Arabidopsis thaliana: one gene and its partners. The protein of the gene in region 2 interacts with the protein of the main gene of each other region in a pairwise test. Each region holds a gene or a part of one and is shown on either strand. Other genes may lie near its edges. The genes, in order: HMGA, AT2G31730, AT2G01818 and LRL1.

Evidence for each region.
Region 1: the proteins of AT2G31730 (region 2) and HMGA interact in a two-hybrid assay, tested with the Arabidopsis thaliana proteins (one large-scale study listed by BioGRID).
Region 3: the proteins of AT2G31730 (region 2) and AT2G01818 interact in a two-hybrid assay, tested with the Arabidopsis thaliana proteins (one large-scale study listed by BioGRID).
Region 4: the proteins of AT2G31730 (region 2) and LRL1 interact in a two-hybrid assay, tested with the Arabidopsis thaliana proteins (one large-scale study listed by BioGRID).

What each region holds. Positions count from the first base shown.
Region 1 is NC_003070.9:5,136,371-5,143,735, reverse strand, and holds HMGA (high mobility group A), read left to right. Parts: upstream 1-4,268; 5' UTR 4,269-4,382; coding exon 4,383-4,466; intron 4,467-4,540; coding exon 4,541-5,071; 3' UTR 5,072-5,620; downstream 5,621-7,365. Other genes in the region: AT1G14910 (ENTH/ANTH/VHS superfamily protein), read left to right, coding at 165-254, 379-448, 546-643, 877-1,015, 1,133-1,260, 1,346-1,438, 1,562-1,612, 1,744-1,809 and 7 more; AT1G14890 (Plant invertase/pectin methylesterase inhibitor superfamily protein), read right to left, coding at 6,032-6,691. UniProt on the Arabidopsis thaliana protein: Binds A/T-rich DNA with a highly dynamic distribution into the nucleus.
Region 2 is NC_003071.7:13,484,624-13,492,623, forward strand, and holds AT2G31730 (basic helix-loop-helix (bHLH) DNA-binding superfamily protein), read right to left. Parts: upstream 5,057-8,000; 5' UTR 4,716-5,056; intron 4,069-4,715; exon of another isoform or gene 3,973-4,068; 5' UTR 3,971-3,972; coding exon 3,854-3,970; intron 3,745-3,853; coding exon 3,679-3,744; intron 3,602-3,678; coding exon 3,536-3,601; intron 3,450-3,535; coding exon 3,405-3,449; intron 3,328-3,404; coding exon 3,160-3,327; 3' UTR 2,927-3,159; downstream 1-2,926. Other genes in the region: AT2G31720 (B3 domain protein (DUF313)), read right to left, coding at 411-1,352; AT2G31725 (FAM136A-like protein (DUF842)), read right to left, coding at 1,824-2,006, 2,081-2,218, 2,640-2,768; AT2G31740 (S-adenosyl-L-methionine-dependent methyltransferases superfamily protein), read right to left, coding at 6,430-6,633, 6,754-6,904, 6,994-7,160, 7,268-7,342, 7,417-7,497, 7,590-7,714, 7,796-8,000.
Region 3 is NC_003071.7:351,136-359,530, forward strand, and holds AT2G01818 (PLATZ transcription factor family protein), read right to left. Parts: upstream 4,460-8,395; 5' UTR 4,236-4,459; coding exon 4,227-4,235; intron 3,780-4,226; coding exon 3,513-3,779; intron 3,379-3,512; coding exon 3,220-3,378; intron 2,651-3,219; coding exon 2,417-2,650; 3' UTR 2,209-2,416; downstream 1-2,208. Other genes in the region: AT2G01820 (Leucine-rich repeat protein kinase family protein), read right to left, coding at 6,529-7,073, 7,260-8,395.
Region 4 is NC_003071.7:10,316,996-10,326,225, forward strand, and holds LRL1 (LJRHL1-like 1), read right to left. Parts: upstream 5,429-9,230; 5' UTR 5,183-5,428; coding exon 4,892-5,182; intron 4,863-4,891; exon of another isoform or gene 4,827-4,862; coding exon 4,656-4,826; intron 4,512-4,655; coding exon 4,446-4,511; intron 3,904-4,445; coding exon 3,838-3,903; intron 3,450-3,837; coding exon 3,393-3,449; intron 3,053-3,392; coding exon 2,651-3,052; 3' UTR 2,218-2,650; downstream 1-2,217. Other genes in the region: AT2G24255 (LOW protein: F-box/kelch-repeat protein), read right to left, coding at 1-68.

The DNA of each region.
Region 1 (7,365 bases), on a different chromosome or scaffold from region 2:
CGAATTAAGGAAAGAAATATAAGAATGAGACGAATCCAAATCTGCGTCTCATTTGTTTTCTTCCTCTTTCTTCTCAGTCTCTGCGTTTCTTTCTCGGGGAAAAATAATATCTGAGAAGAAGATTCGAGAGAGAGAGATCTGAACGGTTTTTCGCTTAGTCTCCAATGGGAACGCTACAGTCATGGCGAAGAGCTTACGGAGCCTTAAAAGACACCACCAAAGTCGGCCTTGTCCGAGTCAATAGCGATTACGCCGTACGCTCCTTTCGATTTCGATTTGCTTTGATTTTTTCAGCATTTCGATCGAATAGTTTTATATATCTTAGACCACCGAAGGTGAATCACTCATAGATTCGAGTTTTGATCTTCTAATTTACAGGAATTAGATGTTGCCATAGTGAAGGCTACTAACCATGTCGAGTGTCCTCCCAAAGATCGTCATCTCAGGAGTAAGTGATTGCTTCTCACTTGTTTTTTTGCAGAGTTTTTAGATTTGTATTTGTTTATTGTTTTTCTAAATATCTTATTCTCTGTGAATTGTTACAGAAATTTTCCTCGCAACGTCAGCGATTAGGCCTCGAGCAGATGTTGCTTACTGCATTCATGCTCTCTCCCGACGATTACACAAAACCAGAAATTGGACGGTAATTGATTTGCTCTTTCTCGGATTATGATCTGAATCTTTTAGGGAAGATAGTGATTATAGTAATTTGCAGCGTTTAGTATGATTAGATGTGTTCACTTTCATCCTCTGTATGTTTTAGGGTGTGAAATTCTGAGGATCGATTCAGTCATTGTTTCAAATTGGTGTAGATAGCTTTGGTTAGGTTTCTCATTCTTTCTGTTGGCTATTTTATTGTGTGTTTTGCTTCAACAGGTTGCATTAAAAGCACTGCTAGTTATACACCGGCTTCTGAGGGATGGTGATCCGACATTTAGAGAGGAGCTATTGAATTTTTCGCAAAAAGGACGCATTATGCAAATTTCTAATTTCAAGGATGACTCTAGCCCAGTCGGTGAGTCCTTACTGCTACATTCACGGGTCTATGTGTTTTTAGAAGCAAATGAGGTTCATTCAAGGTTTCTGCATAGAGTTATTGTTGATATGGTATTTGCTTTATGCTTGCTTACAGCATGGGATTGTTCAGGGTGGGTACGCACTTATGCGTTGTTTCTTGAGGAACGGCTTGAATGCTTCAGGGTTCTGAAATATGACATCGAGGCTGAACGTCTTCCAAAAGTTTCCCCAGGGCAGGAGAAGGTATCAAATTTGCGTTTTACTTGGTTTTCTGGCCTTATATTATCTCCTTTCCTTCCTGAGGGTATTCGATTTTGGAAATGAACAGGGGTATAGCAAAACAAGGGATTTAGATGGTGAAAAACTCTTGGAACAGTTGCCAGCTTTACAACAGCTTCTGCATCGTCTCATTGGTTGTAAGGTGCTTCTTTGATGTCATTTCCCGAGTCGTGCACTATGTTTTGTAAATCCCGTATTATTTTCTATTAAGTTGGAGAAGCTTTTCCTGACGTATGAACTGACTTTGCTCTTTCGACTTTTTCAGCCAGAAGGTGCTGCTAAGCACAATCATATCATTCAATATGCACTCTCCCTGGTACATTAAACTAAACTCGGGGGCATAATTTACATATATCCGCTAGTTCTTAGTGTTGTGTCAAATATATACTATCTGGAAAGAACAGCTTGATTTAAGCTCTGAGATCTTATTGTAAATTGTGTATGCAGGTATTGAAGGAGAGTTTTAAAGTGTATTGTGCCATCAATGAAGGAATTATCAATCTAGTAGAGAAGGTAGGCCAGTTTTTTCTTTTCCCCCAGAGTTACTCTCTCCCTTCATGTGTTTTTTGATTTCTTACTGTTTTATACATGCATATATTGCAGTTCTTTGAAATGCCAAGACATGAGGCCATCAAGGCCCTTGAAATATACAAGCGTGCGGGTTTGCAGGTAATGTTGTTGGGTTATTTTCTCTGTTAGATCAATTTAGATTTCACTTAACAAGGGTTAGTTTATCAATGCAGGCTGGCAACCTTTCTGCCTTCTATGAAGTATGCAAAGGATTAGAACTTGCAAGGAATTTCCAGTTTCCTGTTTTAAGAGAGGTATCAGATAATAACTTGTTTGTTACATTTAAATTTGTGATGGCAGGTACTTTATCAATACTAAATAAGTCTATTTTTGTTTTTTTCAAGCCTCCACAATCTTTTCTTACAACAATGGAGGAATATATGAGAGACGCACCTCAGATGGTCGACGTCACATCTGGGCCACTGGTACATATATACTCTCATTGTGGTCCTACTCCTACAGAAACCATGATTTTTCTTTTATAACTTATTTCTAAAAACTTTGTCAACATACAGCTTCTGACCTATACGCCTGATGATGGTCTTACTTCTGAAGATGTTGGACCTTCACATGAAGAACATGAAACATCATCGCCTTCAGATAGTGCCGTTGTTCCCTCTGAAGAAACGCAACTTTCTTCCCAGTCTCCTCCTTCAGTAGAAACTCCACAGAACTTCATTGATACTGATGATCTATTGGTAAATTATGCTTATTACATATGGTCTTGATTTCTTTATTCTGTCATTGTTATCCTTTTGTCTCTGATTCTCTCAGTATTACACACAGGGTCTGCATGATGATACACCTGATCCGTTAGCAATCCTGGACCAAAATGCACTAGCTTTGGCCTTAGTTTCCAATGATGGTGAGCTTCTTGGTCTATGTACTGGAGCTCTAAGTTTGCCTTTCTTGCTTGTCTTTAGTCGCAATTCTGGTTATGTTTCTGTTTCCAGTTGATTCTTCGCCGTTTAGTTTTGGGCAAGCAAGAGATTTGGATCCGTCAGGATGGGAGCTTGCGTTGGTCACAACACCTAGCAATGATATATCTGCAGCCACAGAGAGACAGCTGGTAAGATGTATTCTTGTATTAGTGATAATGGGATGCATCAATTACGTACCATTGTCCTGTTAACGTATGTCACCTCTGGGGAATTGATTTTGTGGCTTCTGAATCATTAACATTTTTTTCTGCAACAAATGCAAGGCGGGTGGATTAGACACGCTCACCCTGAACAGTCTATATGACGATGGAGCCTTGAGAGCAGCCCAACAGCCTGCCTATGGCGTCCCAGCTTCCAATCCGTTTGAGGTCCAAGACCTGTTTGCATTTTCAGACAGTGTTTCACCGCCTTCAGCCGTAAACAACCCATTCGGTCTCTATGAGCCAACCTATCATCAACAAGAGCAGCAGCCACAGCTACAGGTTGCACCCAGCCCTGCAAATCCTTTTGGTGATTTTGGGGAGTTTCCAATAGTTCCGGTTTCAGAACCACAAAGCACCACCAGTTTTGGGGCATTTCCAGTACCGGTTTCAGAGCCGTCAAACACCACCGGCTTTGGGGAGATTCCAGTAGTCCCGGTTACAGAACCGCCAAACACCACCGCGTTTGGGGAATTTCCAGTGGTGCCGGTTTCAGAACCACAAAACATCACTGGGTTTGGGGCATTACCAGTAACCCCGGCTTCAGAACCATCAAACACCACCGGTTTTGGGGAATTTCCAGTAGTGTCGGTTTCAGCACCACAAAACACCACTGGGTTTGGGGCATTACCAGTAATCCCGGTATCAGAACCGTCAAAGACCACCGGTTTGGGGGAATTTCCAGTAGTCCCGGTTTCAGAACCGCAAAACACCACGGGTTTTGGGGAGTTCCCGGTAAACGCAGGTGCTCATGAGCAACATAACAGCAACAACCCCTTCGGCAGCACGGGCTTCTTGTGATCCCATCTTCGTATATTTCTCAAAATGCTTTATTTGTCTCATATGATTCTATTGTTTGTGAGTAGTAATAAAATCACATCATCTTCTAGTCTTGCAAATCTTGTTCTGCTAATAGAGAAAGACTCCTCGGGATTGATTATATAAATGAATTTTCATTGGTGGAAAAAAAATGAAAGATATATATAACTCATTGTGTTACATTAACAAAATAATTTGAAATATGATTAGCAAAAACGCTACGTAGTATGTCGTTTTCTGTTCTAGTAATCCAGCTAGGCTGAACCAATGGCCATTCGTTGAATAAAAAAGGAAGATTGGAGGAGAATTAGGTAATTTAAGGGTAATAGTCAGCAGAAGTCATTCCCATATGTCCACGTCAGTAATCCTGCTCGAGAAAGCTGCTATAAACTCAGAGCCGTTGGATCAACCCGTAAGTTTGAAAACCCCAACCGTCAGATCAACACTACAAGTTAATATGAGAATAATGAGAAAACCACTTTCCCAAATTGCTTTTTAAAATCCCTCCTCACACAGATTCCTTCCTTCATCACCTCACACACTCTCTACGCTTGACATGGCCTTCGATCTCCACCATGGCTCAGCTTCAGATACGCATTCATCAGAACTTCCGTCGTTTTCTCTCCCACCTTATCCTCAGGTGAAGTACACCCCTAAAATCTCTCAATCTCTCTCAATTTAGTTTCTGAAATTTTGGTTGAAATTTGTGTTTAGATGATAATGGAAGCGATTGAGTCCTTGAACGATAAGAACGGCTGCAACAAAACGACGATTGCTAAGCACATCGAGTCGACTCAACAAACTCTACCGCCGTCACACATGACGCTGCTCAGCTACCATCTCAACCAGATGAAGAAAACCGGTCAGCTAATCATGGTGAAGAACAATTATATGAAACCAGATCCAGATGCTCCTCCTAAGCGTGGTCGTGGCCGTCCTCCGAAGCAGAAGACTCAGGCCGAATCTGACGCCGCTGCTGCTGCTGTTGTTGCTGCCACCGTCGTCTCTACAGATCCGCCTAGATCTCGTGGCCGTCCACCGAAGCCGAAAGATCCATCGGAGCCTCCCCAGGAGAAGGTCATTACCGGATCTGGAAGGCCACGAGGACGACCACCGAAGAGACCGAGAACAGATTCGGAGACGGTTGCTGCGCCGGAACCGGCAGCTCAGGCGACAGGTGAGCGTAGGGGACGTGGGAGACCTCCGAAGGTGAAGCCGACGGTGGTTGCTCCGGTTGGGTGCTGAATTAATCGGTACTTATGCAATTTCGGAATCTTTAGTTACTGAAAAATGGAATCTCTTAGAGAGTAAGAGAGTGCTTTAATTTAGCTTAATTAGATTTATTTGGATTTCTTTCAGTATTTGGATTGTAAACTTTAGAATTTGTGTGTGTGTTGTTGCTTAGTCCTGAGATAAGATATAACATTAGCGACTGTGTATTATTATTATTACTGCATTGTGTTATGTGAAACTTTGTTCTCTTGTTGAACAATTATTGCTGCTTTGATTTCATTTTCACACTTAATAATGAGGGGAAAACTATGTAATTGGTAATGCTAAACATTCATTATTGTCACTAATTTAATTATGCTACAGTTAGCAGAAGAAAGAATCACTGTGGAATCAGCGCGGGAGTTGAAAATTTCAAAGGGAATTCAATTAGAAAAATCTGTGAAGCGAATGTGTGTAATCATTATCAATAGGGATTGAAATAGAAACTGTGAACAGAGTATGGAAGCTTTTTGGCATCCCCGTGAACAAAAAGGACAAAACCTTGTTTTCGTAAAGATTTTAGAGTGGGCCACTAATAGACAAACTTTGGGGTCATAGTCAGATGTTCTAATCATCTCACGGGTTTCAGTTCCCCTTAGACATGATGGCCAAAATTCATCCATATCATATCCAAATTCATCAAAGAAAAAAAAAAAAAAAAAAAAACCAGGTTCATGTATCAAATTTACTCATCAAAACCATGTATAATTATCTTCATTACTCATATAGCACACACCATATAAACACATATGACATATATTAATATTAATACAATCAAACATAGATTAATGTATAATTTGAACACCCAAACTCAGAGTTCTAACTCGGTTTCAAAGCCTCGAATACACATTATAAACTAAGCACACAACTTAACACATATATATATACAAGTGTTTTTATAACTTTAGGAATTTCAAGACCTAGCTTAGTTAGTTAGGCTCCATTGTTGGCGTAGGTATTAACGAGAGCGAGCGCATTACTCGTGAACCTCTTGACGTCGGCGACTCTATCGCAAATAGCCGTCTTCGTCTCTCCGTCTTCCATCTCCTCCGTGACCCCATCCGTACACGTCTCCTCGTCCGTCAACGCCGCGCTCATCCACGTCTGCACGTTACTCATCTGAAACCTAAACGCCGGATCTCCGGGACGACGGTGGTTCATCTCTCGGAGCTGCCTTAGGGAGCCACGCATCTGATCCACGGCATCTCCCACGTTCGAAACGCAGTCGTGGACAGCAGCTGAGGCAGCGCGACGTGAGAGTTTGGAGAGGTAAGCCGCCGTGTATTTTGCGCGGGAGAGAGAAACGCCGATTGCGAGTTTAGCTAGCCTTGCCGGATTATCTTGGACGGCGGAGGCGTATCCAGCTAGAGACGTGTAACATACGTCTGGATACAGCGTTGTGTTGCAGCTCGTACGGATGAAATCTAGATCATCGGTTGTTGGTTGTTCCGGAGGGAAACGGACGGCTGAGATTGTCCGGCAAATGAAGAGTAGGGTGACTAAGTAGAGAACCGTCGTCGTATAAAGCTGCCTCCCCATTTTAAGCTTTAAGTTTTTTACTCTGTTTATTTCTTCTTTGTTTCGAGTTAACATGTGAGATTGGAGGGTTTATGTAGACATTGAGTAATGGAGAAATGTGACATGTTTGCCCATTCATGCTCATTATAATCACATTATGGCCACTAATCATTTTGTCGGGTGTATTTTATCCATAGTTGGTGTGAAAAGGAAGGCTTGGTAGATTCACTATCTTAGCCGTACCTTAAAAGGAACTGCATTCTTTATGGTTATCTATCCCATATATATTTAAATTTTATAAGAAAATATGTTCATAACATATCAACGGTTAAAAAAATATCCATAACACTTCATTTTTATAACTATATTTTGTATGCACTTTTGTTTATAAATGTCGAGTATGAACACAAATGTTGAACTAGGTATGGGTCGCAAGTGAGATTTTGGGTGGACATTACTCCTCAGTTGCAATATCGACCACGAAAGGATCGTACGGTGAATACTATGATGGGACTCACCAAGTTATGGATGGAGTATGTGGAGATTCGCCTACAATCAATAATTCTGCTAAATAAAAGTAAATTATCCGAGAAGAAAATATCTGCACGCGTGATTATTAACATTGTACTAATAGTTTTCTCAAAATGCTCCAACTCATTGAATAACAATGTCTTTTTTTTCCTCTTTCTAAATAGACACCTTTTTTAGATTTTACTCATTTTTAGTGTTGAATCTGTTATATCAAGATT
Region 2 (8,000 bases):
AACACCTAGATAAAAAGGACAAAAATCCAAAAAAGCCATCTTCGAATATAGTTTGAGATGATCAAGAACACAAAGATTTAAGAATAACTCTCTTTATTAGTTTAAGAAATTTACTCAAAACTTAAACTCTCAACTCATAAGTTATACCACATGTTGGTATCTCCTTATATAGAGATCTCTTAAACAATCCTAATCCTAATCCTAATAGAACTAATATTTAGATAACTCATAAATATTGTTTAGATATCTCCTAAAGTTTCTAGTCCTAATCTCTCTAGGATTTAATGACTTAATTGTCAAGTCATATTCAAACTTTAACTCAACATCGAGTGTCTGAAAAAAAAATACTTGCATGGCAAACCTCGGCAGTAGAGCTAGAAGAGCTGTTTTTTGCTGCTGGAAACTCTTAACTACAACCGGAGCTCGAGGTCCAGCTCTGTGTCCGAGACGAGTGAGCTCATCCTATTTGCCTCTTGTAAAGCCTCGAGACAAGTCGTCTCCTCGCACAATTTAGCCAATAAATTTAGGCACTCAGTCGGAGCTGGATCTGGATCTGAAAGAACGAAGGCGAAAAAGAGCATGTCTGGGGAGTGGAAGGACCAGATCCGAAGCCTAGTGCCTCTCTGTAGAATGTTATCGGTGACGACCTTGTTCCATCCTAAACCTAAGACGTAGTTGGAAGTGGAAGTCATATCCCATCTCTTGAGCTTAAGCTTCCTCTGTAGACCCTTAGAATTCACCACGATCACATCCGCTCCTTTGTCACTGGCACTAATCTTTTTGTGATGTCTATCTATTTTTTCTAACTCTTCCTCGTTTAAGAAGTCCATATCTAGTATCTGCTTCCAGGGCATCATAAGACGTGTCTGAAGTTCGTCGACATCACTATTGGGAAGAACCTTCACAAATATCAGCTTTGCATCCATACCGTTCACTTCTCTCATCACGTCAATCAGCCATTCCGTCGGTGTCCTATCTTCATCTGTCACTATAACCGGCTTTCTGTTTCTTACCGGTTTGTTTGAAACCACTTTTTGAGGCCTCTTGGACTCTAGATGGCACGAACTTGGAGAAGAAGCAACACGATTAGGGTTTTGTTCCGGGTCTTGATTCTTGCACTCATCAATCTTCAGTCGTTTGCTCAAGCTGGAATTCATAGTTGTGCTCAGACTGTAATTAATTAATCTTCTCAGTCTTCTCAGTCTCTCCCTCCTTTTATCACCTTCAGTGGATGTTTCTCCTATTTCCTCATATGCAAAAGCGCTAACCGTTCTCTCCGTCGCTACACATAAAATATCTAACGCTCTCTTCCCTCCCTGCAAACCATTAAGTTGATCATCTCCTCTCACCATTGTTATAAAAAATAGAGAGACAAGAAGAAAGAGTTAAGCGGCAGAGAGGAGTTTATAGTCTTGCTTTTATATGATTCTGATTGTCAATTCCTTTCACAAACGAACAAAGGTATATATAACTCTCTATTATTTTTTATTTTTTTTTGTTAGTGATAATCTCTATATATTTTTATATTAGTTTTAGATATTCACTAAATTACTTGCTTCTATTCTATTGGTTAGTCTCTTTTGTTCGGTTCAATCTTTAAATTCATGTATTTATCCTCAATTTTTTTTTATAGAGTTTTAAAGTTTTCGCTAGGGAAGATGAAGAACAAGCAAATACAGTTATTCCAAAACAGTGGCAAATTTTAAAACTTAATATAAGAAAAAGGAAAACAAATTTGTAGATCATATTAAGACAAAAGAAAAGGTCTTTTCAAACAATATGGCTAGTCAAGTTCTGGAATCCAAGGTTTTTCACGAGAGCTTTTAGTTGGTTATGTTAAATGCTGTCTTCATTCTCTGCACAATATGTGGTAATGTATTGAGATTTTCCTCAATGGATTTGTGCACACAACTCTCCATCTCGTTAACCGCTTCAGGCCTTATCTTCTGGAGCTTTGAGGCCTCAAACTTGTCTTGACACACCACCAGTGATCTGTTCAATCTTTCCTATACATTCATTCAACAAAAATCAGTCTTTATACACAGCAAACTATGTATCATCTTTTAGCAGATATCTTTACCTGAAATTGAGCCATTTCGTTCTCGAAATACTGTTGAGATTTGACAACGGGAACACTGCAGTGCTCGACGCAGTTACTTATCTCCTCTTGCTTTCTTCTTCTATCAAAGCACTCATATGCACATTTGAAATAAGCTTGCTGCAACAATGATATCGTTGTCAGGGTTTAATTAATTTGAATCAACGGATCATATAACTCAATATAGCAACCCAAAAACACAAGAGAAGGTGTTAATAACTCTCATGCTTCTGAAGACAAAGCAGAGCAATTGTTATGCAACGAGACACGCCTACTTATCGAATATCCTACAGAGCACAATATAGTAATTAAACCAGAGCAATTGTCGTGAACCTAATCCATAGTGTCTAAAGACGAATATAGTACGAACCCAAATGCAAATTTTCAGACTTTTTTCATGAACCTACTCAATTCATCAAATTTGAAACTAGCATTGTATCAAACCAATAAAGATTCCATATTCAGAAGCTAACATTGCTAAATTGTTATATCAGAGAGAATTTATGCTGAGCTCGCGAAAAGTACAGATTTTTGTATATACCTGAAGGGTGAAATTGATGTGATCTTGGATAGGAGAAAGCTGAGTCTGAGCAGCTACATTAACTTCTTCAAGCTTTCTTCGAAGTCTCTCCGATACGATTTGCTCTTCCGCCGCAGCGATGTGATCCATTGTCGCCTTCTCTGTTTAGCGTAATTTTGATTTTAGGGCTTTAGGGTTTTAGCTAGCTGCTCTCTTCAATAGAAGATCCTTCAATAGCCGCAAACAAAACGGGTTTGACAATTTTGGGTCGGGTTAAGTTTCCCGGGTTTCTCTAAACCGGTTAACTCTTTTTCACCAATTCAAACTTTATTAAACAGGAAGCTAATTCCGGTCATTGACCGGTCCGTTAAACTTCGCATTAGAATCAATTGTTACAAGAAGCCACCACAGAGTTGGGATTAAGCAGTAAAAAATAACAGAAACAGCCATCACCGACTTCAAGGTCTCTCCATCAATACATGATCAGACCAAAGCTTTGGCTAATTTTCATTAGTCTTGAGACAGAGAATTTAGCAGCAGCTCATTGAAAGGGCGAATTAGAAGACGAGAGATTAAAAGCATGAGAAGATGTTGGAGTCTTCACAGGAGCCCAAATATCAGCACCATTGGTTTGAGCAACTTCTGATGTATACTCCAATGGAACAAGACATAGCCCTTTACTTCTTAAGCTGTACTCTTCCACTTCCTCCTAGTTACAGAGATGGAAAATATCAGTCTTGCATTGTGATCCAAGTAAACGAGATCCAGATCATAGATTCAGCTCACCTCTGTAGTAGAAGGGGTTGCTTGCAGATAAGGAGCACTTAGAACCTGAACAGAGAAAATCAAGCATAATCATCATTGGATTGGAGGAGGTGAATGAATGAAAAGTATTTGATTAGAAAACTTGAGCAGACCTTGACTTGTTCTTGAAGAAACTGAATGTATTGCATTCCCTCTAGAAGAACTGATGCAGTGTCGGTCTGCATAGATAGAGACTTGAACATGGCTAGAGAAGACAAAGAGCGTGTAAGAAAGATTATTTCGGACCAAGTAGTACCTTTCCGTAAGGGGAAACTAGTTGTTGAAGAGCTGAAATACGTTCTGCTAATTTGTCTTTCCTCTCCTGTTTAAACCACAGAACAACAAAGTTTCAAGATCATTAGCATGCTGGTACAGAAATGTCCGGTAGCTTCATAGCCACAATGAATTTTGATTTTGATGTATCACAAGACCTTGGAAGAGAAAGAGAGATCAGATGACTTGTGTCGTTTAATTTTGTTATCTTCAAGCGAGTAGACATTGCGCTTAGTCTCCATCATCATCTCTGCCGAGTCTCTAGAGTATTCCATTCCTTGTCATCAAACAAAACAAAAATGATCGGTTTTTCGACATAAGAAACCGGTTTACTTGCTACCATTTATAAAGATAATCTCATGGCTTCATCCAAGGCAAGTTGCAGAAAAAAACATAAGATTACAACTCAACAACTTGCTTTTGCAAGCGTCATAAGGACAAAACTATACGCCTTGAGATATTCTCAGACCAGACAAACAAAGTGGTGTCTTGGTTTTAACATCAAAATTAGATGTTAACTACTACAAATTAAGGGATGCAAATCTAGGTTTGGACCAACTAATGCATTGGAAGATACGACTTTTGGATTAGAAAACAAGAGCAATGGTCAAAGAAAGTAGATAATGGTCAGAGGTTATCCATATAAGATCACATCAGCTTAAAGTATTATTTAAAGTTTAGTAGCACAATCATAGATGTTTAAATATGATATCATACTTTGCTTCCATACATAGACAATACATTGTAGGATGCATGAAACTACGGAATTAACTCATTAATTTAGTTCATCTAATGAGCAGAACTAGTTAATCATTATACGTGTTTTTATTTTGGATCGAGTTAGCTCCATTAGACAAGATTCAAAGCTAAGCAAACTTCAATAGAAAAACCCCACAAGAAGATGAGAACAAAAAATACCAAAAGATTCATGATTTTATTTTGCCTTAAAATACTCTAAGTTAAGTCAAAAAGACCAAAAATGGGGAACAAAACAGAGTAAATGAAGAAAAAAGAACTTACAGAGAGAAGAGACTCAGCATTTGCCAGAAACAGCAGACTAACCAACAAGTAACTTCACAAACTCTAAAACTTCTTGGTCTAAGCTCTCTAAATGGGTATTTATGTCACCCTAAGCACAAGACACGATGAAACCCATAAACGAGGATCTTGGTCTCTCTAGTGTATATATATTTTTACTTTCTTTTGTCTTCAGGTCTTGAAGAAAGCCATTAATGAAGCCGGAGCTCCAACGGTGACACGATTCCAGAGGTTTGTGTTTGGATGAAAACGGCGTCGTTACTTAAAGGGTCGTGAAAGAGAGGAGTTTTAGTTTTATGTAGAGAAGAAAGCAAAGAAAAGAGGGGACTACGTTTCATATGTCTTTTTCTTCATTTTGTTTTTCCTTTCGTCCTCTTCATTTAATTCTCATTAAATCTATAGATTTTTTTGTGAGACAAATAAATTGTTAGAATATATAATCGTAAAACTTTATTCTGTTTAATTCAAATCTCTTAATCAATCGAAACTATATTATATGTGTTATTCAGTACTATTTGACGGTTAGGAAATAATTACTATAGTAGTAATTAGGAAGTAACTTGAAGAATTTAGTTTAGTGTATATATTTGGAGTTAGGGAATGTAATGGAAATGTAAAAATTTGACAGCTAATGTACAACCAATGGTGAGAGAGGTCCTTTTACCAGTCCCAGATAGAAGTCGCTTTCATTATTTTCATAATAAAATAATAAATAAGCTAATAATTTTGAAAGTGACATTTGATTGTTTTTTATGTAGTTTTGTCAAAATGATTTTGACCAATTCTTCTGCATCTGTCACTTCTTTTTCAACTTTGTGCTTTTTCTTGTTTTGTTATCCTTTCTTTGAAATTTTCTACGAGGGAGGTTGGTTAATGCAGCGTACCCTTTGGTTGATATCCGAGTATATTCACATTTTCAAGTTTCAACGACACAGCTTTTTGTTTATATGGAACAGAATCTATCTTCTTTTGTTTCTCCAAAGTAAACAGCTAAATACTAACCCAAAATTGAAAAGCATAAACAAATAGTTGAATCTAACCAAACAAACAGAAAAAACAAACCTAACTATAACTAAAAGGCAAAAAATATAACAACAATATTGATTACATGCAAAATATTTGAAATGTTTACAAATGTCCAATTGATCAGCGTTCCATATCGGACCCACGCGGTTTCTGAATTTGTTTCTTTGCCACAAATGTTTTTCTTTTGTCTTCGCGGCGACCAGATTTTGGTTTAGGTGTTTCAATTTATATCTCTCTTACGTACGTACCAAAATCGGCCTGTATCAAAGGCTTTCTTTCCCAAATTACAATATTACAACCATAATTATTATAGCTCCAATGAATAAACAGCAATTATGCTAATCACCATTCGAGCATTTCTTAGCAACAATAAGGAAGATCACTCAAATCAGAAACAATACGGATAGTTCCCAAAAATGCACAAAATTAATCAAGACATTGATGTTTAACTTACATTCCAACTTCACTATCATCCAAATTGAATGCTTCAATAAGTTGGTAGGTCTAACAATCATAAAGGTTATGAAAAAAACTCCACGCTTCATTTTCCATTTGCGTATGGACGAAACTAGGTGTATTGTATATAATATAGTCTCAAAAATTTCAATCTTAACTTATAACAGAAATATATCTCACACGTCTTTTTAAAACGAAATAATAAAGAATGTTTTTATTTCCAGCATTTCAGCTTCTTTGTAGCGTCTATGATGCTTTGCTTCGTTTCCAATCTCTGGCACTTGAGCAATCCCTCCAGTATAACTGCAGATTCTGGAATATCGTTCTCGCTGATTACAGATTCAGAGCAAAGCCCAAAGAGCACTACGTTTACGTCATCTTCCTCTTCTAGTTGCAGGCCAAATAAATGATCGAAAACCTTGGCAAAAAACAAAACAATAGAGATCAATTCTATGACTCAATTTCCGTGCAATAGTATCAGATCAGATTTGTGAAAATATGCAGAGAATTTACAAGGAATGAATCACATTTGCTTTACCTTTTTCATTCTTGATACTACCATATCTTTGACGGACTGTGATCTCGTGACCAAATTCACTATGAAAAGACCGTGCTGAGGGAGAGCTTGCTTAACCGAAAGAAGAAATGTCTCTTCGATAAAATCAGATGCAGGGCAGGTTAATCCGCCGCTGCAGACAAGAGATCAAACAAGAAAACAATCAGGCTTACCATGTGGGTAAATTCATAGATATGTGAATTTACTTGCCATGTCTTTTACCTTGAATCTGCTGAATCCACATCTATAATTAAAATGTCAGGACAAATTCCACCTTGTGTATTGTGAGTGGTTGAATCTCCATTTGAGCCAATGTTTGACGATTCCTCAGACGAAGCTTCAGAGTTTGTTATATCTCTAATGAATTTGATCCCATCAGCAATATGCACCTATTATAAGAATGCGAACGAGCTGAGTGATGGTGCATATAATAGAATAGAATATAAACATGTTAAAGTTTAGCCAGCACTTTTGTTGTAAAGAGGGAGAATTTTACCTTCAAGCGATCATTTTGTGTGAAACCAAAGTAATCCTTGCCAACACTAAGCATTACTGGGTCAAGCTCAACCGCCTATTCAACAGGATACAGAATATGAGTGGCAATAGAAAATACTCAACTTGATTAATCCTTTAAACTGAAATTACCTCAATACTGAAAAATGGCAAGCATCCATGGAGGAACATGGGAAGTAATCCTGCTCCAAGACCAATTACAACAGTCTTAACCTGAAAAGCATCAGAACATTTCTGGATCAGTACAAGGCAAAGAAAAGATTCAGATCGGTTGCACCGTGAGGCCACAACTTAATAATGCTCACCATCGTTCCGCATGACTCAGCCTTCTTCAAGTAGGAAGATACCAATGTGAATCCAGAAATAATTCCAGTGTGGTAAGAGCTAGCCAGATAATCATGAGAGACCCTCATAAGAGGCCTGCTCGGTTCTGAAATGGATACATGTAAAAAAGATCATGAAACTTTTCACCTGAAATGTATCAAAACACTTACAGAAGTACGATTTTTACCTTGGTTTTGCTTTTTATTTCCCTTTCGCTTCGATTGGGAAACATTTTTAGTTTTTTCTTTCTGAGACTGTTCAAGAATCTCACCATCCTCTACAAGCAAAGCTTCAGACTGTATCAAACCCTCAGTCCTTTTGAATACAAGTCGTCGAAATGCCAAATCACTAGAAGTAGACAAGTCTTCTAAATTACTAGGAGCGCTTTCATA
Region 3 (8,395 bases), about 13 Mb from region 2:
TTTATTCTTAACTTTTTGTCTGCCATAATCATACCCAATTAATAGTTTTTTTTTCCTGCATTACTTTTACTTCTATTTGATATTCTAATTTTCTAAAGTGGATTTTGCTGCCAAAACATTATGACCATCATTCTTCTTTATCTATTATTGATTTTTTTTGGCTTGATAATGCGACTCAATAATTATCAAGAACAGTGATCCAGCCATAAGACGAGGATGCTATATGATTAAAGATTTTTTTTTTTGTTGTTGAGTTGGTTTTAAAGATGATTATGGTATTGTTTTGGTTTTGTTTAATTTCATTTTTGTTCAAGACAAAGATACGCGACAAAGGTCTCTGGCCCCAATAAACGCTCCATGTTGACTAGTGAGCCCCAGGTGGTCAATATTTATTTTTCTTGTTTTCTAAAATGTTTTATTCTTTCTAACTAACACAATTAAGAAAATTTCTCATCAAAATATCTTTAAATAAAAATTTATGTATTACATAATATTAAAAGCAAGTATATGTTCATCTTTTTATTAGAGTTTTCAGCTAGGGGCGGGCATTCGGGTAAGCGGGTTGGATTCGGGTAAAACCCGATCGGGTACGAGTATTTTGGGTAGAAAAATTTAGAATCTAATAAGATAAATCTAAAATATCGGTTTGGTTTCGATTCGGATCTAATCGGATTCGAGTCGGTTCGGATATAGATTTTTGGGCCTAAATTGGAACCAATACCCGAATTTTTGGATAAATACCCAGATTTTTCAGGTAAATACCCGGATTTTCGGGTAAAATTTCGGGTTTCGGGTAAAATTTAGATTTTCGGGTATTTTTGGATTCGGGTCGGGTTTGGATTCGGTTTTTTGGGTAGAGGAATTTAGGATCCAATAAGGTAAATTTTTGGATTGGGGTTCGGTTTCGAATCTAATTTTTCAGATCGATTTCGGTTCGGGTTCTCGGTTCCGGATTTTTTGCCCAGTCCTATTTTCAGCTTTGTAATTAAATAAACAAATTTGTATATACTTAGATACTTGTTAGGTGTGATAATATTTTTTTATGGTGGTATTTACAAGTAACATAAAAAACTTTTATGGTGTCCTCAATTTCAGATATTTTATAAATTATAGCATAAATATCAAGTTAAACTTATATTCTTTCACAAAAAAATAATAATTAAATCTATATTATGTATCATAATCGTGAATCGTGATGCTTCCGTGCTTCATTTTTCTGTTTGTCAATCTCGGTTCTATCTCTTTAGTTATGAAATATTAACATTAGTATATTCAAAGATCTACAATAAATAGAAGAAATGATAATGATAGGTAATACTATTTAAAAGAAAAAATAAAGTTGTTTGATATGAAAAATATGTAAAACAAGTTGCCATAGACCCATTATCATGATCATTCATTCATTTGTTAAAATGTACGCTATATCTTCGTATACTTCTGTTAAAGAATGATTTATATTTAGTCTTTGTGATATACACCAATGATCATGGAATTTTCTCATATACTTGATACTTTATTCTTTTTTTACGGAAAATGACACATTTGCTAAACACCCAAAAAGTCACGATAACAACTACGGGCCATTGCTCCAATTTGTAACAATGCATATTGACATATTGAAAAGTCGTTAATTTAAAGAAGAAGAAAAACTACTACATAAAATGGTAAACTCGTTAGCCCGAATAACTTAAATGGAGTGTTGAATCGTATAATTTTTCATTTTTATTATAAACCAAAAAGAGAATGTTGCAAAAATACAGGAATAGGAATTGAAATATGGAGAAGTTTACCAAACCATGTAATTTTTACAAATGATAATATCGTAGAAAAATTATGACTTGGCTCCGAATGGTAACGTGCGGTTTAACTGTGGATAAAATGCAGTGCGGTTCTAATAATAACAAAAATATTTACATATATATATATATATTTTTGTTACTGTTCGAACCGCACCACATCATACCGTTCGGCCTGCATTCGGAACCTCAGTCTACGACGAATGATACCATCATTTGTCATTACAACGTGTATCTATCAATTCATCCCAAAAAGCGTTAAGAATATTGCATAATATTCATTTTTATATATTGTATTTCATTAAAACTGTGGGTTCCAGTGAATCAACACAATCTCATTCTCATGAACCAAAAAAACTTTTTGGGCCCATATCTCTCTCTCTTTTCTCCATGATGAATAATAAATAAATCACTCATACATACGCATTACACATCACTATTATTATTTTTCTTTGTATCACTATTTTTTTAGCCTATTAGCAAAAAAATAAAACATCACTATTTCTCATCAAAACTTATTAACTTGTTAAAATAATATTGATAGCCGATATAATATCTTTTTCATAGATAAAATACACATAATGTATGGCTTTGATGACAAATCCAAAGAAAAAAAAAAATCAATAGAAAGGAGATCTTCGAGAAATTCCTTTTCTCTTGAGTATTCTCAAGAGTGGTCTAAATGAAAAATCACTCAATAAAACTTCAGAATCTTCTGAAACATCAGTGAGGGACGATGTGCACGATTTTTTTTCTTCTAAGCTTCCTTCTTGAGTAGAGTGTTCTTTCTCCAAAACACTCTGTTCTAGTTTTGGAGAAAAACAAAATTTATGCTTTTTTGAAGGAGTTGAAATCTACAAAAAGAAAATATATTAAAAAAAATGTCTTTCAACTATTAGAGAGCATGCTCTAAACTCAAAAGCAAATTCTTATATTTGACTTCAAACAATATACGCAAATTTAACGTTTTAAAGCGTGTTTATACAACTCACATGTATTAAGTGATTTCAATTTGTATTAAATGATACTTGTTAATGTAGATTACGTTTTTCGAAATTATATATTGTAATTTCAAAACAATGATTTTTAAGAAAAGTATTAAAATGAAACACTTTTAAAAAATATTTGCGCATCTTCTAACCGAAAACAAAACTATACACATTTTTGAGTGTGAACAAGACAATGTACAGTTGAAAATGTGTACAATTCAAATCACTCATAATTTTCCTATATACTATGTCAAAACTATATGCCTCAAGACTAACTTTTTTTTATCATTTCAAGATTATTCTGTAAATGATTGTTTTATATGTTTGATAACTACCAATAAATAAAAGATTAAGAAAGGTAGATGACTACCAATAGACTAATCAACACAATTCAAAGGGAAATATAAACTTTAACAAAAGATACCATAAATTACCTTGCAGGAGATAGAGCAAAAAAGATTAGGATGATCCTGAATATATCTTTTACAAGTCACACATGAAGCACCATTCTTGGCTTTTGTTGAAGGTCTTGCATCTTTTGCTTGTGGCCTTGAATTCAAATGTATTGCCTTCTCTCCATTTATTTTATATGTCTTTTTCCCCCATACATAAATTATTGCCAACCAATACCAAAATTAAAAACATTAATTTGGAACTCTAAAACAAGAATTCAAATGATTATTTTATTAATTATTGAATGATTTAGATATTTAAAGAAAAAAAAAACCTGAATCTCGGAACAGTCGAAGTAGTTTTGGATTTCGAGGAGACGAATAACATCTTGGTAAACGTATTTGCAGATCTGAAGACGACGATGGAGGAAATGAGAATCTGTAACTGTGTTACAACAATGTCTGCATATTTCCACATTACAATCAATGCAAAACACATTCTTCTCGTTCTTTCTAAGATACTTATGATTCATACATATCCCAAAGAACTCTGAGTTCAGTAGTGTTTCAATCCAAACTTCTTCACTTCTTCTCTTCTCACTCTACAAAAATTATTGCTATTACTTTTTTAGATTTGCATAAACTTAATTATGATTTATAATGAATTACTATGAAGAAGAAAAAAACATGAATATTATCCGGAAAAAAACAATCTGTACAAATTTGAAACTTTATTGACTTTATTTTTTTTATATGAAGAAATTTAAAACTTGAATTAGAGAGATCAGTTTACAATTAGGAAAAGAAAAAAAAAATAAAACTACATTTTTGAAGGATATGGAATCTGCAGAAATTTTACTTTTTATTGAAATTTATAAAGAATTTATAAATGGGCTATATGAAGAAATCATAACTATAAATTTTGCAGAAATTTTCTTGTTTCTAATTTATATTGAAACTATGAACTTGAATTGAAGGGATTTGTTTTCAACAACAACAACAACAAAAACTAACACTGCAGAAATTAATAAGAAAAAATGAGCATGTACCAGATTCATTTTGGTATGAGAAACTGAGTTCCTTTGATAGATCAGATGAGAAGATTTTATATTTCTCCGATCAAAATCATCCAAAAATATTTTAGTGTTCTTGGAGGAGAAGAAGAAGAAGAAGAAGGCCAAAAGCAAAAAGAAGAAGAGAGATGTGATTTGATTTGTAGTGTGAATAAAAATAGTAGAAGAAGGCAAACGAAATATTAAAGAAATGATATTAGGAATGTTTCAATTAATTACATATTGTGTTTTGTGGAGAATAATAAATTAAAAAAAAGGAAACTAAATGACAATTAATATTAAAAATGAGGGAAAAATCAAAAGTCCACAGAGTCAACAATAACTGTGACTCTTTAATACCTAAAATGGATACCAGGCGGGAATATGAAGCATGTGTAACTTTTAAATTACTGTTTTGTCTCTAGATAAATCGATAAGTATGTTTTTAATACGAATGAAATCCACTAATTAGGTCATTAATATGCAAATTGTAATAATTAAAAATGAGTGGACATAATTTGACTTTGAGGGGCAAAAAGTTAAGTCTTTATAATTTAGATGGTGCGATAAAGGTAAGCAAAGCTTCCTATATTTACTCCGAAATTTCCAAGGAAACAACTTATCAAATTTAGAATTATATCATTTTCTACATATACATAGATAGGAATATTTGATGTCAAAAATAACCGTTCCAAAGTGCACATAATAATATCTTAGGCAAATTCAAATCCAGCACATACATACTATACTTATGGAGAGACTAGATTATTGCTTGATGTTCGCATACATAGACAATTGAAATTTAAATAGATTGGTGAAATTTGTTACAGATTTAGTTGAAAGTATCCTAAAAAATATCTTATCATTTGCTCATAATTTATAAATTAAAAAAAAAGTATATCACTTGAAAATCGTTAAGATGAATATTAAAACCAGAAAGTAATAGTAAAGTATTTTGATAATGAGCATAGTAGCATTTATAGATTATATAAAATTGAAATTATAAGTTTAGGTAGATGTTTCTATGGCATTCCATCTTCGATACAACATATGACAGAAAGTTTTCCCTATTCGAGATAATACGTATGCGGGTTTTCACGTTTTTACGTTTTAGAAATATGATTTAGTTGAATACATACCATTTGCAAAAACTTGCGATGATTATTAAAACGTGGAAATAATATGTGTTTGTTCAATTTATCTTGCACGTTTTAATACAGATTTTTCGTCTCAACGTTGTTGATCTATGCTGATAGTAGCACTGGATGAAAGATTAGAAGAAATACAACAAAAATGAACATACCACTTGGCATGGTGACTCAATGATGTCTTAACCCTAACTTTATTTTTTGTTCTTGAATTAATCTAGTGTAATATTGAATACAAATCCATAAGATAATAAAATAATATATATTTTTAAAATTATGTATTAAATGTATGATCACATCAATATTATAAGTTAATAATTATACAAACTTATCAATATATATCTAAAATAATTAGTGACATATGAGTATATAACTCTAGTATTGTTTTTGTTGTTGAATCTGCATTATATTGGAGCTCATATCTAATCTTTTTTAACTACATCAAAAGCTGTGAATGGTTTATAAGTGATAATTGGTTCCTTACATGTAAACGGTTAAGTTTGCCTAACTTAGTTCCAATTATTGGTGTCACCTTTGATGTTTAGATTTTATATCATATGATCAGTGAACCTAAATAGTAGATGCTTAATATTATGAAGATTGGATTGGACAGTGTGCTTTATAAAATGAGGGACACCAAAATCATGTATTTCATTAGAAGGGAAGGACCAACTGGCTCATAGCAAATTGAATGAATACGGAGACTGCTTTGATATTCCAGTGGGTGTATGGTCCAAAGTCCAAACCCATAAACACATGGCTTTATTGGACTTGTGGGCTTGGAATACAAAATGATTTCTCATAGAAAGTGTACTTATAGTAATCTACTTGCTTAAACCCCTAAACACATGTTAATAACTTAAACCGCAGTGAGTTCAAAATACTGTTTGGTTCAGCTTTTACGGTTTATGAGTTGGATTTTACTGACGAAATATTAAAATTTTAAGAACTCAAAGATTGTTATCTTTGCATAAAAACTACACAAAGTAGATAGATAAATACACTAACCAAAAGCTTGCAGTAGATAAAAACGAAGTCATAAGTAAATATGCTTCAGAGAAAAGCAAAAAAAGGGAGAGCGAGAGAGAGATTTATCACACAATGCTTCATCTTCTTCTTCTACTAAAACGTTTTACGCAATCTTGATTTTTTCAACGTCCATCCACAGAAGTGAACGAGTCAGCAAATCCAGATGGGCGAGTTGGGATACTTGTCTGCGTATTGTCTTTGCTTCCATAAGCCGAAGACGAAGATCCCGAGTCATCCGCGGTCTGGCTTAGTCCCTCGAAAGCTTGCCATTTCTTAAGCACCTGCGGAAGCGGCATATCGTAGTCTATCCCATAGACGTCATCAGGGTCGGTCTCAGTTGGTTTCCATTGGACGGTGAGTGAAGAAAGGACGTTAACGATGTGAGCCATGTCAGGTCTTTGGTAAGGCTCACGGGCACAGCAATGACCAGCAAGCTCCCAGACTTTTTCAATACTGGCTACGGTATCGTCGTCGAGGCTGATGTTTGGGTCTATTGCGTTTTTGAAGGCATTTTCGTCTTTGCTGGCTGCTACCCGACGGAACCATGTGACTAGATGGACGCTGTCTTCGGGTTGCGTCTCGTCTAGGGCTTTACGACCAGTGATTAGCTCCATAAGTATGACCCCAAGGCTGAAAATGTCTACCTTGGTCGTCACTCTTCCCGTCACTGCCAAAATCAGAGTATAGAACAATTGCCAAACGATCAAAGGATGAAACTATAACATTTAGGAAAATGCAATAAGATCAAAGCATGAAAATTTAAGTGCAAAACGGCCAAAGTATGAAACTTTGACACTGGGCAAGTGCAAATCAATTGAAAGGCAGAGACTTTAAAATTTGGGTAAGTACAAACCTGCGTATTCTGGGGCAAGGTATCCGAAAGTCCCAGCTACTCGAGTCTCAATGGAGTATTTGCCATCAGGGGCTAAACGTACTAACCCAAAGTCAGAGACTTTAGCGCGCATATCATCACCAAGAAGGATGTTTGATGGCTTTAGATCCCTATGGATAAAGCTCTGATGCGCAAGTGTGTGCAGATACTCGACACCTCGAGCTACATCCAATGCAATCGCCAGCCGTCTAGTCCAGTCTAACGGTTTTCGCCCTTCCTCTTTCCAGTGGAACAAATGCTGACTTAGTGTCCCCTGTGGCATGTACTCGTAGACAAGAAGCCTCTCGTTCCCGTCAAGGCAGTAACCGAGAAGCGCAACGAGATGACGATGACGCATTTTAGTCAGAACAGTGATCTCAGATTTAAACTCAGTAAGTCCCTTATCACTCACAACCGAAGACTCCATTCTCTTCACAGCTATTTTTGTTCCATCGTGGAGTTCGCCTTTGTAAACTGTCCCGAAACCACCTCTCCCGAGAATATTCTCTTCGCTGAAGTTATTCGTCACATTCCTCAAGACCTGTATCGATATAACCAAGTTCCCAGCTTCAACAACGTGAATATCACTCGCTGCACTTCCGCTGTGACTGTAGCTATCACTTCCTCCACCACTGTTAAGACTAGAAGCTGCAACAGTGAGTTTAATGTCATCGTTGTCACCCGAATGATGCGGATGAATAACCATGTTGCTGCTTGGACTTTGAACTCTAGCAGGTCGCTTCCTTTTCTTCGCATAAAGACACACACCAAGCCCAACCAAACACAATGCACCAACAACCCCACCAACCACAGGAACAATAATCTTGACATTGCTTGATTTCTTAGAAGTTTCACTGCCATCACTTCCTCCTGAAGGTTTACTTCCTGGTGAAGCTCCAGGAGCATCACTCGTTTTGTTAGGTCCATTCTTCCCCATGTTAGCGTTCCCTTCAGTCACCAAAGTCACAGTATCCCGAAACTTTGGCGGTATTCCATAAAAATCGTTGTTAGACACATCAAGTAACCTAAGCTTAGACAATGTGGTAAGCTCATCAGGTATATGCCCGGAGAGTTTATTATCAGCAAGATTGATAGTCTCCAATGAAGTAAGCTTAGCT
Region 4 (9,230 bases), 3.2 Mb from region 2:
TCAGGGAGCTCAGACCAGTCTGGGGTTATCGATGATGTTGATGTCTTCTTCGTTTTGGGTTCTGCCATGTTTGCTAATGGAGACAGAAAACGCTGCAATCTACGAATTTGCTAAAAAAATTCTAATTTACATTTGAATTGATTGTACAGTAAAATCGCAACAAAATATTGGGGAAAAAACCCGAAGATTCATTTGGCATAAAGAGATATGATCGTACCGTAACTTGGAGCCCAAGGTCTCTGGAGAATTTGAAGGAAGAGAGAGTGATTTTGATTAAGCTTTAAAGAAATTGAGTATACAAAGGAAGAATCGCTTCCGCTGTAGCAATTTACTGTTAGTGTCGATTGTGAAGTTTGCCCTAGACTAGTGTCGTAGACGAGAAGATTTGAGGTGGGACATGAATTGAGAAAGAGGTGGGATTCGGTTCGAGATTGAATTGGGAAATTAACCGAAGGAATTGGCCGGTTAAAATCAAGTGAAGCTGATTAAACAATTCGGGTTTTGATTTTGAATATAAAGATCACGTTTGATAGTGGATTGATAGGCAAAGCTTTGCGAGATGTATCTTTGATCATTTGGAACACGCAAAGTGTTGTGTTCTTGTTCGTTCAATTCTAAAACAAAACGATTGATTGAAAAGGTATGAGTTTGTGAAGTTTGTGCAATAGATTGCAAGGTTAAAGCGATTGGCTTTGATCGAATGGGAGCATTTCCGATACATGTAGCGCCTGGATATTCAAAAAATGGAAAATTGAAAATAGAGAGGCTGCTCGAAAACACTCAAAGTTAAAAATAATGTATTAGACTTAGGGCTTGATTGGTTCTCCCTTTACCACCCGCAAACGCTTGTTAGCGATTGACACCAATCATAGAAATCGTTAGATATCGTTTTGGACCGCTCGAAATCGCCCGTTTTTCAAAAACTCTTTTCCGCAATCGTTTGCGGTTGCGAGCGGTAGCGGTTAGGTTAAAAAAAAATATCATTTTTTAATTAAATTAAATAATTGTGGCTTCCATCCAAACTCTAATTACTATAATTAAAATAATCTAATCTTTTATATATCTGATTTTTATTAGAAAACCTTAATCAATATATTGTAATCGTATTGTCTCAATTATGGCATCCGATGAAAATCAAAATCAAGAATCAAACATAAGTATCATCTATCCTTTTATTCATTCATTACCTAGTGTAATTCTTTAACTATTTCATAGCATCGTTGTTTTTATTTTATTTTGTATTCTTTTGAGTTTTTTGATTGAATACATGTTTCGATTTGTTTTCTCGATTAGAAATCATTTGGTCGGACGAGATGATATATTGTATTTTTATTTGGTCAGAAAATCAAATTTTCTAATATTATAAATTTATCATAATATATTGTATTTTTATTTCTTTTAATAGTAATATATTATATTTATTTTGGTTATTTTTTATTTAATTACTATCGCATCCGCTGGTTTACCAGTCAAACCCCGCAAACGCACCCATTATCAAACGCTCAACCAGTCGTTCAAAACTCTTGATAACGCTTAAAACCGCAACCGTCCGTTTCCGCAAACTCCCGCAATCGCAACCGCATCCGCTGTGTTTAAACCAGTCAGGCCCTTAATTTGGAAATGTCGTTTGCTAAGATTATTTTTCTTTAAATCGATCTGTATATGAAAGAGTATGCACGTCTCAAAGTGTTTAGGAAGATATTTTCAAGAGGAAAGGCATTAAACAAAAAGAGAGTCATAAGGATATTTCAAAGATATGATAAATATATATTGAAATATTGGGTTGTATAGAGAGCAATAATTTCCTAATGGAAAGTAGGAAATATGCTAGTTTGGCAAAAGGGAATGAGGACATGAATTTTTTACATAAGAGACAGGCTTTGTTTGGGTTAGCCAAAATATTTAGGAAAAAAAAAAAGAGAAAAAAAACAAGTTTTGTTAATTAGCGAGCTAGAGTTTCCTCGATGGAATACGTTTTGGTTTCTAGGTTGTGTTCATAGATCAAAGATGTAATTTAAAAAGAAAAATTAATTTTGTAGTGTGGATTTGAGATAGACGTGTGTTGTGATAAAAAGTTAATGGTGTCAAGTTAAGAAAATGTTTTAGACTTTTTAGTATTGAGTAGGTCCATTTAAACAGACTGCTACTGTAAAATTGTTAAATGATGATTGATGTCTATAGTGAAAATGTATAGACGTACGTACCTCTTTGTTTTGTACAGAATTTGTATATTCTTCAAACTCATATCCTAATATTTAGACTTGTGCGATCCATAAACATCTAAAGTCTTGGATTCAATATTTGAGATTTGAGAGACGAGATTATAACTCCATCTCTAAGTGAAAAACCAATATACTATTTTTTTCTTTTTCTAGCCTAATATTCAGATCAACGATACCAACTTTATTTAATAAAAATAAAACATATTGCAACCATATATTTAAAAAAGAAAAAGAAATGTCCCTTGAATGGTTTTGTAGTGCGTAGGTAAAAGAACCAAAACTCTACGAAAAATATGGCTTCGTTCAGAGAACACATCAAACAACCTCAACCTCATTCTTCGTAGACTTTGACTTTATCTCCCACTTCACCCCACTTTCTCTTTGTTTTTGGTATCTCTCTGCCTAACCCCAAAAGTAAACGGCCGTTATCACGCTTTCGAAACGGATACGGCCTCTTTAACGGCGATAGAAGACGACCTCTCGGTCACGCCGTTACCGTTTAATTTCCCATTACCGCTACCCATTTTTGTACTCGTCGACTGTATGGTCATGCCAGAAAGATTGGGAGGGGAAGGACCTCCGACGTCGGCAACAGCTCCAGGGATCAAAGGGTTACGGGAGTGACACGTGGCGGTTGAGATGGCGGTGGCTAAAGAGATTGGCATGAGACAAAGACCTTTCCCTTGAAGATATTGCATGGCCGAGCCCATGTCTTCTTCCATTAGTTTGGCCACTTGATGTTCCGTCATTGTAACGCTGTCGTTGGAGTTTCCGGCCGTCTGGCTACCGCCGACCATGGCGGAGGATGCGTTCCCGTGGGATCCACCAGCCTAAGCAAAATAAAACAAAACATTTTGAAAAACAAAAAGACAAAGAAAGCGAAACCCTAAGTGATTAGTCGGCACGCGTGCTCTCTTTTATATTTCTCTATTTTAGAATTATAAAATTTGTCTTATTTGTTTTCTGTTTCTGGAAACTTTTTACATTCATTTTGTTTTCAACGTCTTGCACGATTTATCTATTTTTACACACCAAAATAATATTTTGTAAAATCTAATTAACATTATAAGAGAAAAGTGATTGTCTAATTTCTTAATTTTGTCCATTGGCTTTGATGTTTATTGAAATTTATGAAAAATGAGTACGTAGAGATAGTAATATATTAGTTACCTCGGAGATTTGAGAAGAAACGGAAGCAGCACCTCCCAATCTGCTCATGCTCAGTACCTAAAACGCATAATTAAATTCAAAACAGAATGATTAAGTACACTGGTCCACTAATTTATAACTTAAAAACATTATTTATCATGTATGTATTTATATGACATAATAATCCAGAATGTATATATAAAATTTGAGGAGGGAGCATAAGGAATTTTAGTTGCAGAGGCCCATAAATTTGATATATTGGTATGTAAAGATTGTACTAATATGTCAGCTTTTCTTTTTGTTTAATATGTCAAACTAAAAGGCAAAAAAACGAATCTTCCATCTATATTGAAGAGAATAAAATAAAACAAATTGCACTCTGTAAAAGAATTACCCCTTGTACGTATGAAAAACAAACTTAATAAAATAATAACTGTAAATATATGAGAGAGAGGGAGAGATTCACCTTGACTTGGAGTTGTAAAAACTTGACATAATCTATGATCTCATCGAGCATCGATGCCTTGTCTGTCTGTCCATTATTATACAAATAAAATACAAAAACAAAACTGTCAGAACTGAGATCCTAACTCATTTATTACTGCATTAGTTAACTTTATTATTGTAGCCTAATTAATTAATTAGCTAATCAGTGTTTAATCATTTGATTGATATATACTACTAGCTACTCCTATATATAGATAGACTACACAACCACCAATTATATGAGTAAAACAAAAAATATAAATTTACTTGTTAACTCCTGAAAGTTCTAGTTGACAGCCTAAAACTATCTCTTGAACAACTAGCTCCAAGAAAGTTCCTGATCATTTCGACACTTATTTTCATTATTTATTTTGTATTTTTTCAATTTTAGGTCTAGAAGATGAGAACTATAAATAGACGATGGAGTTTAAATTGTAAATTAGATGGAATTATGGATCGCACGAATCAAGAGTGGATGATGAATAAAATGATGGAAAGTGAAGTTTATTTTCATAATGATCCATTTAATATTTTAACTAATCTTAATTTTTGGAAACTAAACTGAAAATGAATTGAATAAAAATTTACCTTATTGCCGTTAGGAACGAGTTCTTGAAGAGCTTTCATTCTTTCCGCAATTCTCTCTCTTCGTAACTGTCCCATAAAAACATTTTTTCCAGAAAATACTCAAATCTTTTCTTCAAAAAGCTAAAAAAAATTCAATTTCGACACCTTTCTCGGTAACTGATACAAATTAATGCATCGAACAAAGTAAAATAAAAAACAAAAACAACTAACCCTTTCGGCGATACTATGAGGATCAGTTGCTTGACCTCTCCTAGCTCGGATTTTAGTCCTACTCTGCGGCGGAGCCGCCACCGTACCACCAGTAGCTGTAGACGCGCTCGCCTGAGGTTGCGTTTGCGTTTGCGTTTGTCCTTGTTGGTTCATCAATCCTCCTCCCGATCCCTATATTTCACCATAAGTCTCGTTTTCAAGAAGAGAAAAACTTAGAAAAGAGAAAGAGATTATACCTGAGGGATTTGAAAGTTAGGAAGAGATCCGGCGACGGAGAAGCCATTATAAAGAGCGTGGACGGAGGAGCCATCATTCAAAGGCATCATCATGATCGGCTGATTCCTTGAGTCGACATCGTGGCCGTGGAAGCCATCGGAGGGAAGAGGATGAGCATCATCGACGACGGAGGGCCACGGGGCCGAGGAAAAGATTTGATCGAGGAAGTCTTCGTGGTCGAAAGTTGTTGATGGAGTTTGGATATGGGAAGAAGATGAAGAAGAAGGAGTTAGAAGAGAAGAGTTCATCATGATGATGATGGGTTTCTTCTGCTTCTACACTTTTTTTTGGGAAGAGGTTGAAAAATGTTGAGGTTTATAGCTTTATTATAAAGCAGAATTGTTGTAGTCTTGTAGATATATTATTTTAATTTTAGGTTTTAATTATCATTTTTGGTGATATATTATTAAAACCTTAAAAGAACTTTTGTTTTTCTATTGTGGTTAGCAACCCATATTATATCGTGATGATGAATCGATGATTATCATCTTTTGTTTCGTTTCCGTCTTAAACTTTGGTTTCTCTTTACCCCAAATCTTAATCATTATTTTTTACAGCTTAATACGTATGAAAATAAGTCTTTTTTTAATGTACATATTGCTATCTAAAGAGTTTTATTTGATTATACTTTTTCAGATGCAAACTAGTTTTATTTTACTATACAAATATATATTAAACATTGATGGATAAGAAGTTTATTTATATGGTGCTAAGTGTAATAGCTAGCTTTTGTATACAATTATAGTTTTCTTAGATAACATTTATTGTTTAGCAATTTTATTATTTTTGTGTTTTCATGTAGTTTAATGATTTGTTTTGTTGTTGTAAAATAAATGTTGTTTTCATTTTTCTATACAAAAATTAAATATATTTAATATTTTTGATCAATTATATTTTGTTACATATTTTTTATTAATTAAATTAGGTGTAATTAATAATGTTTTTATAGAAAGGAAATAATTTAAATGAGATTTTTGTGTTTTGTTAATATGTGTAAAAAATCTTATATAAATATTATACTGTATATGGGTGATGATGGCATGCCCGTGATTATTAGTGCCTTTCTTACGTTTCAATTGTGGCTTCTAAAAATTTTACATGGACCAAGGAGTTACCTAATTAGTCCCACCAAAAACCAAATACAAGGAGGATATCCTTGTCCAATCCTAGATCTGATCGATTAAATAGAGGCTTGGATATTCACTCAAAAGGTTTTCCTAAGAAGTTGATTAACCATTTGGGTGGAATTCAAAATGTTCGAGCCATTTAGCCGGATAAACGTGAATTTATCCGAACCATACCAAAATCAAAAATACTTACTTACCCATTGAAAAATCCATTCGACCTAACGACGTTAACCTATTTTTTTTCTTTTCAGAGAGTACATCATTTTAAGGAGAATGATGAAACCAAACGACCCTTTGGATCGATGGAATTCAAGAGATGTACATTGGAGCTACCCAAAATGGTCTCGGACCACCTAAGTGTTACCCAATGATTAATCTAGCTACTTGACTATCTACAGATATACCTTAACTTCAAAATTCACTGGAAAACCAACCATTTTAATGAGAATGATCAAAAAATATTGGCTTTGGATTAAAGTAATTTAGGAGATGGTTAAAAGAGCACAGCCGCTGGTCGTTTACCCATATCTATGACCAGTTTCCAACCCATTTACTTCTAGCCCGACCAAAAACACTTGTAGTCCATCTTGGTAAGCTAATTAGTTTTACATGGTACTGCAAATTTGTTCACACACACATGGTGCATTTGTTCAACTCATATATACGAATGTTAAATAAGTTTTAAAATTGTAAATAAGTTTCTCATTATATAAAAATTTAGAATTTTCCGCAATTGATCATTAACTGAATTATGTATAGTACAAAATTACTCATAAAATGAAACATATTATATATTTATTAATACAATCCGAGAATGAAATATTACATTCATGTTTTAATAATCTTTTCACGATGATAATTGACAATGGTCTAAAATTATAAACTCGAGCAGGTACATTCATCAATGATGCTAGAGCTCTCGAAATTCTACTGTTTTTTTCTATGCCCCCAAGATCACAAACATCCTATCCCAAAGACGATACTCGTAAATTAATAATTACAAAATATGATAATAACTTTTTAAAATGAAATTCCCTATCAATATGATAACTTATCTTTTGAGCTAATCACGTACGACGTGGAGCTTTTTCTTTATAAATAGATAGTTATTATTCTTCTTTTTTTTTATTTTTATATGTAGCTGAAAATTTGGTATTTCTTTAGATTGTGCCACATTCACCATATACTCTTTTTGGGATAAATAATAACATTAAAATATTTGCAAACTTAATTTTTGTGTCCGGATGTTTGACACTTCTTCATTTGGATTCATTAACTAATACATTTAAGGTTTCGAGGTCTGTATTTTGTAGTCAGAAATATTGTTTTCCTCTTTTCCATTAATTGCTAACATGAACACATTTTAATGAAACAAAATCTCTCTATTCATTATATTTTTTTTATATAATTGCATTTTTTCACAATAAAGTTTTCTAATAATAAAATAAATCATAATAAATGCTTACGGGAGTTACGTCTCATTATCATAAAATATTTTTTGATTTCTTGTTAAAATATTCTTTTTGAAAAGTTATCTCAATTCATAGCTATTTTCTTAATTATAGTTATAGACAACAAAATTCGTGAAAGCATACTTATAAAAATCATATATGTGTGACTGTGTGCATGTATCTTCTCATGTTATAATGCACATTCATGCATATATGTATGTAGTGGTTCGTACCATGGAATAAGTTCATTGAAATAATATTCCCAAGTCAGAATTCTTTCAAAAATTTAACGATTAAACAAACATATATAGGCTCATCTACGTTCATGTATGTCTACGTATGTGCATGTGTGTATTGCATATTACGCATATAAATACGTATACATGCATATCGAGCTTTACAAGTTATATCCAACAATCTAAATGGACACGTCTTGTGTTGGCGTGTTCACTTTCCACTCTCCGAGTTATAGGTTTCAAAATGATAAAATTTTATTTTCGGTTAATCGATAGAATGTTACAGTTTTGTGTCACTCACAACTCACAAGTCACAATTTGGTCAATTAATGGTCTTTAATTTAATCAATAGAATGTTACATTAGAAGCCTCAAACTTTCACGGTTCTTTCGATAGAATGTGCACATTCTCTACGGCAATTAAGAAAGCAGAACAACCCATCTTAAAACAGAAAAAAAGAGTATAACAACCCATAATCATTGTTAAATTGTTATATCAATATTTTTATGAACAAAATCAAACCATAGTTATATTAAAGGTTTGTTAGAAAGATAAACAATATTGGAAGATAAGTTAACTTCAGTTAGGAGGTTTTATTGGTTTATAATTTTTACAATTTTTTTTGATAACTTTAGTAATATCATAGAAGATAAATAAATTAATGAAAGATTCTAAACTATTGGTAGAGAGTTTTTATAATATTATTGATTAATTTTTTACAATTTTGTAAACTTTTTTTAACAATCTCTATTTTGATATTGGTCGACAAATGTCCATGTCTACATAAACCAATAACACAATAATTTAATTGATTAACAATCATACATTTTTTTGTTTCAATTAAATAACAATGACTTTATAAAAGTATGAATCCAATAACTTTAGTTTTATAAAGATTTTAGATAATTTTTAAAAAGTTTTAAACTGTTAACACCAAACCTTAATAAACTTTAAAATTTTTTTGATTAAGTAACAACAAATTTTACGTAATATTTTAAGTCATTAAAAATTTATTTAGATCATAAACAAAAGAGGTGTAGATTTGAGTATGAAACAAGTACATATTGGTCCAAATAAACTAGATTTTGTTTTTGCCAGGAAACCAATGCAACATATAAGTATTTGTTCTTCAGTATATATATGGAAGATATATATTTATATAAATAGTATATTTAAATGGGATTAGTCTTATTTAAGAAGAAATATTCATATTCTGCGTGATTAAGCACATGGGACATTCTGTGTTTGCACAAACTCACAAGGGAGAAAGATGGGCTTTAATTACATTCATTTATTAATTGCAAATGTTGGTCAAATAATTAATGTACTACGCAACAAAGCTAGAGAGCAAAGAGATCGATGAACTGATATAATTATTATTATTAAGACAGAGAAGTACTTAAACAGGTATAATTATCTTTGTTTGTTCTTAATAAAGTAAATCGAAGTCATAAAATATGAATTTTCACATTCTTCTGTATAATA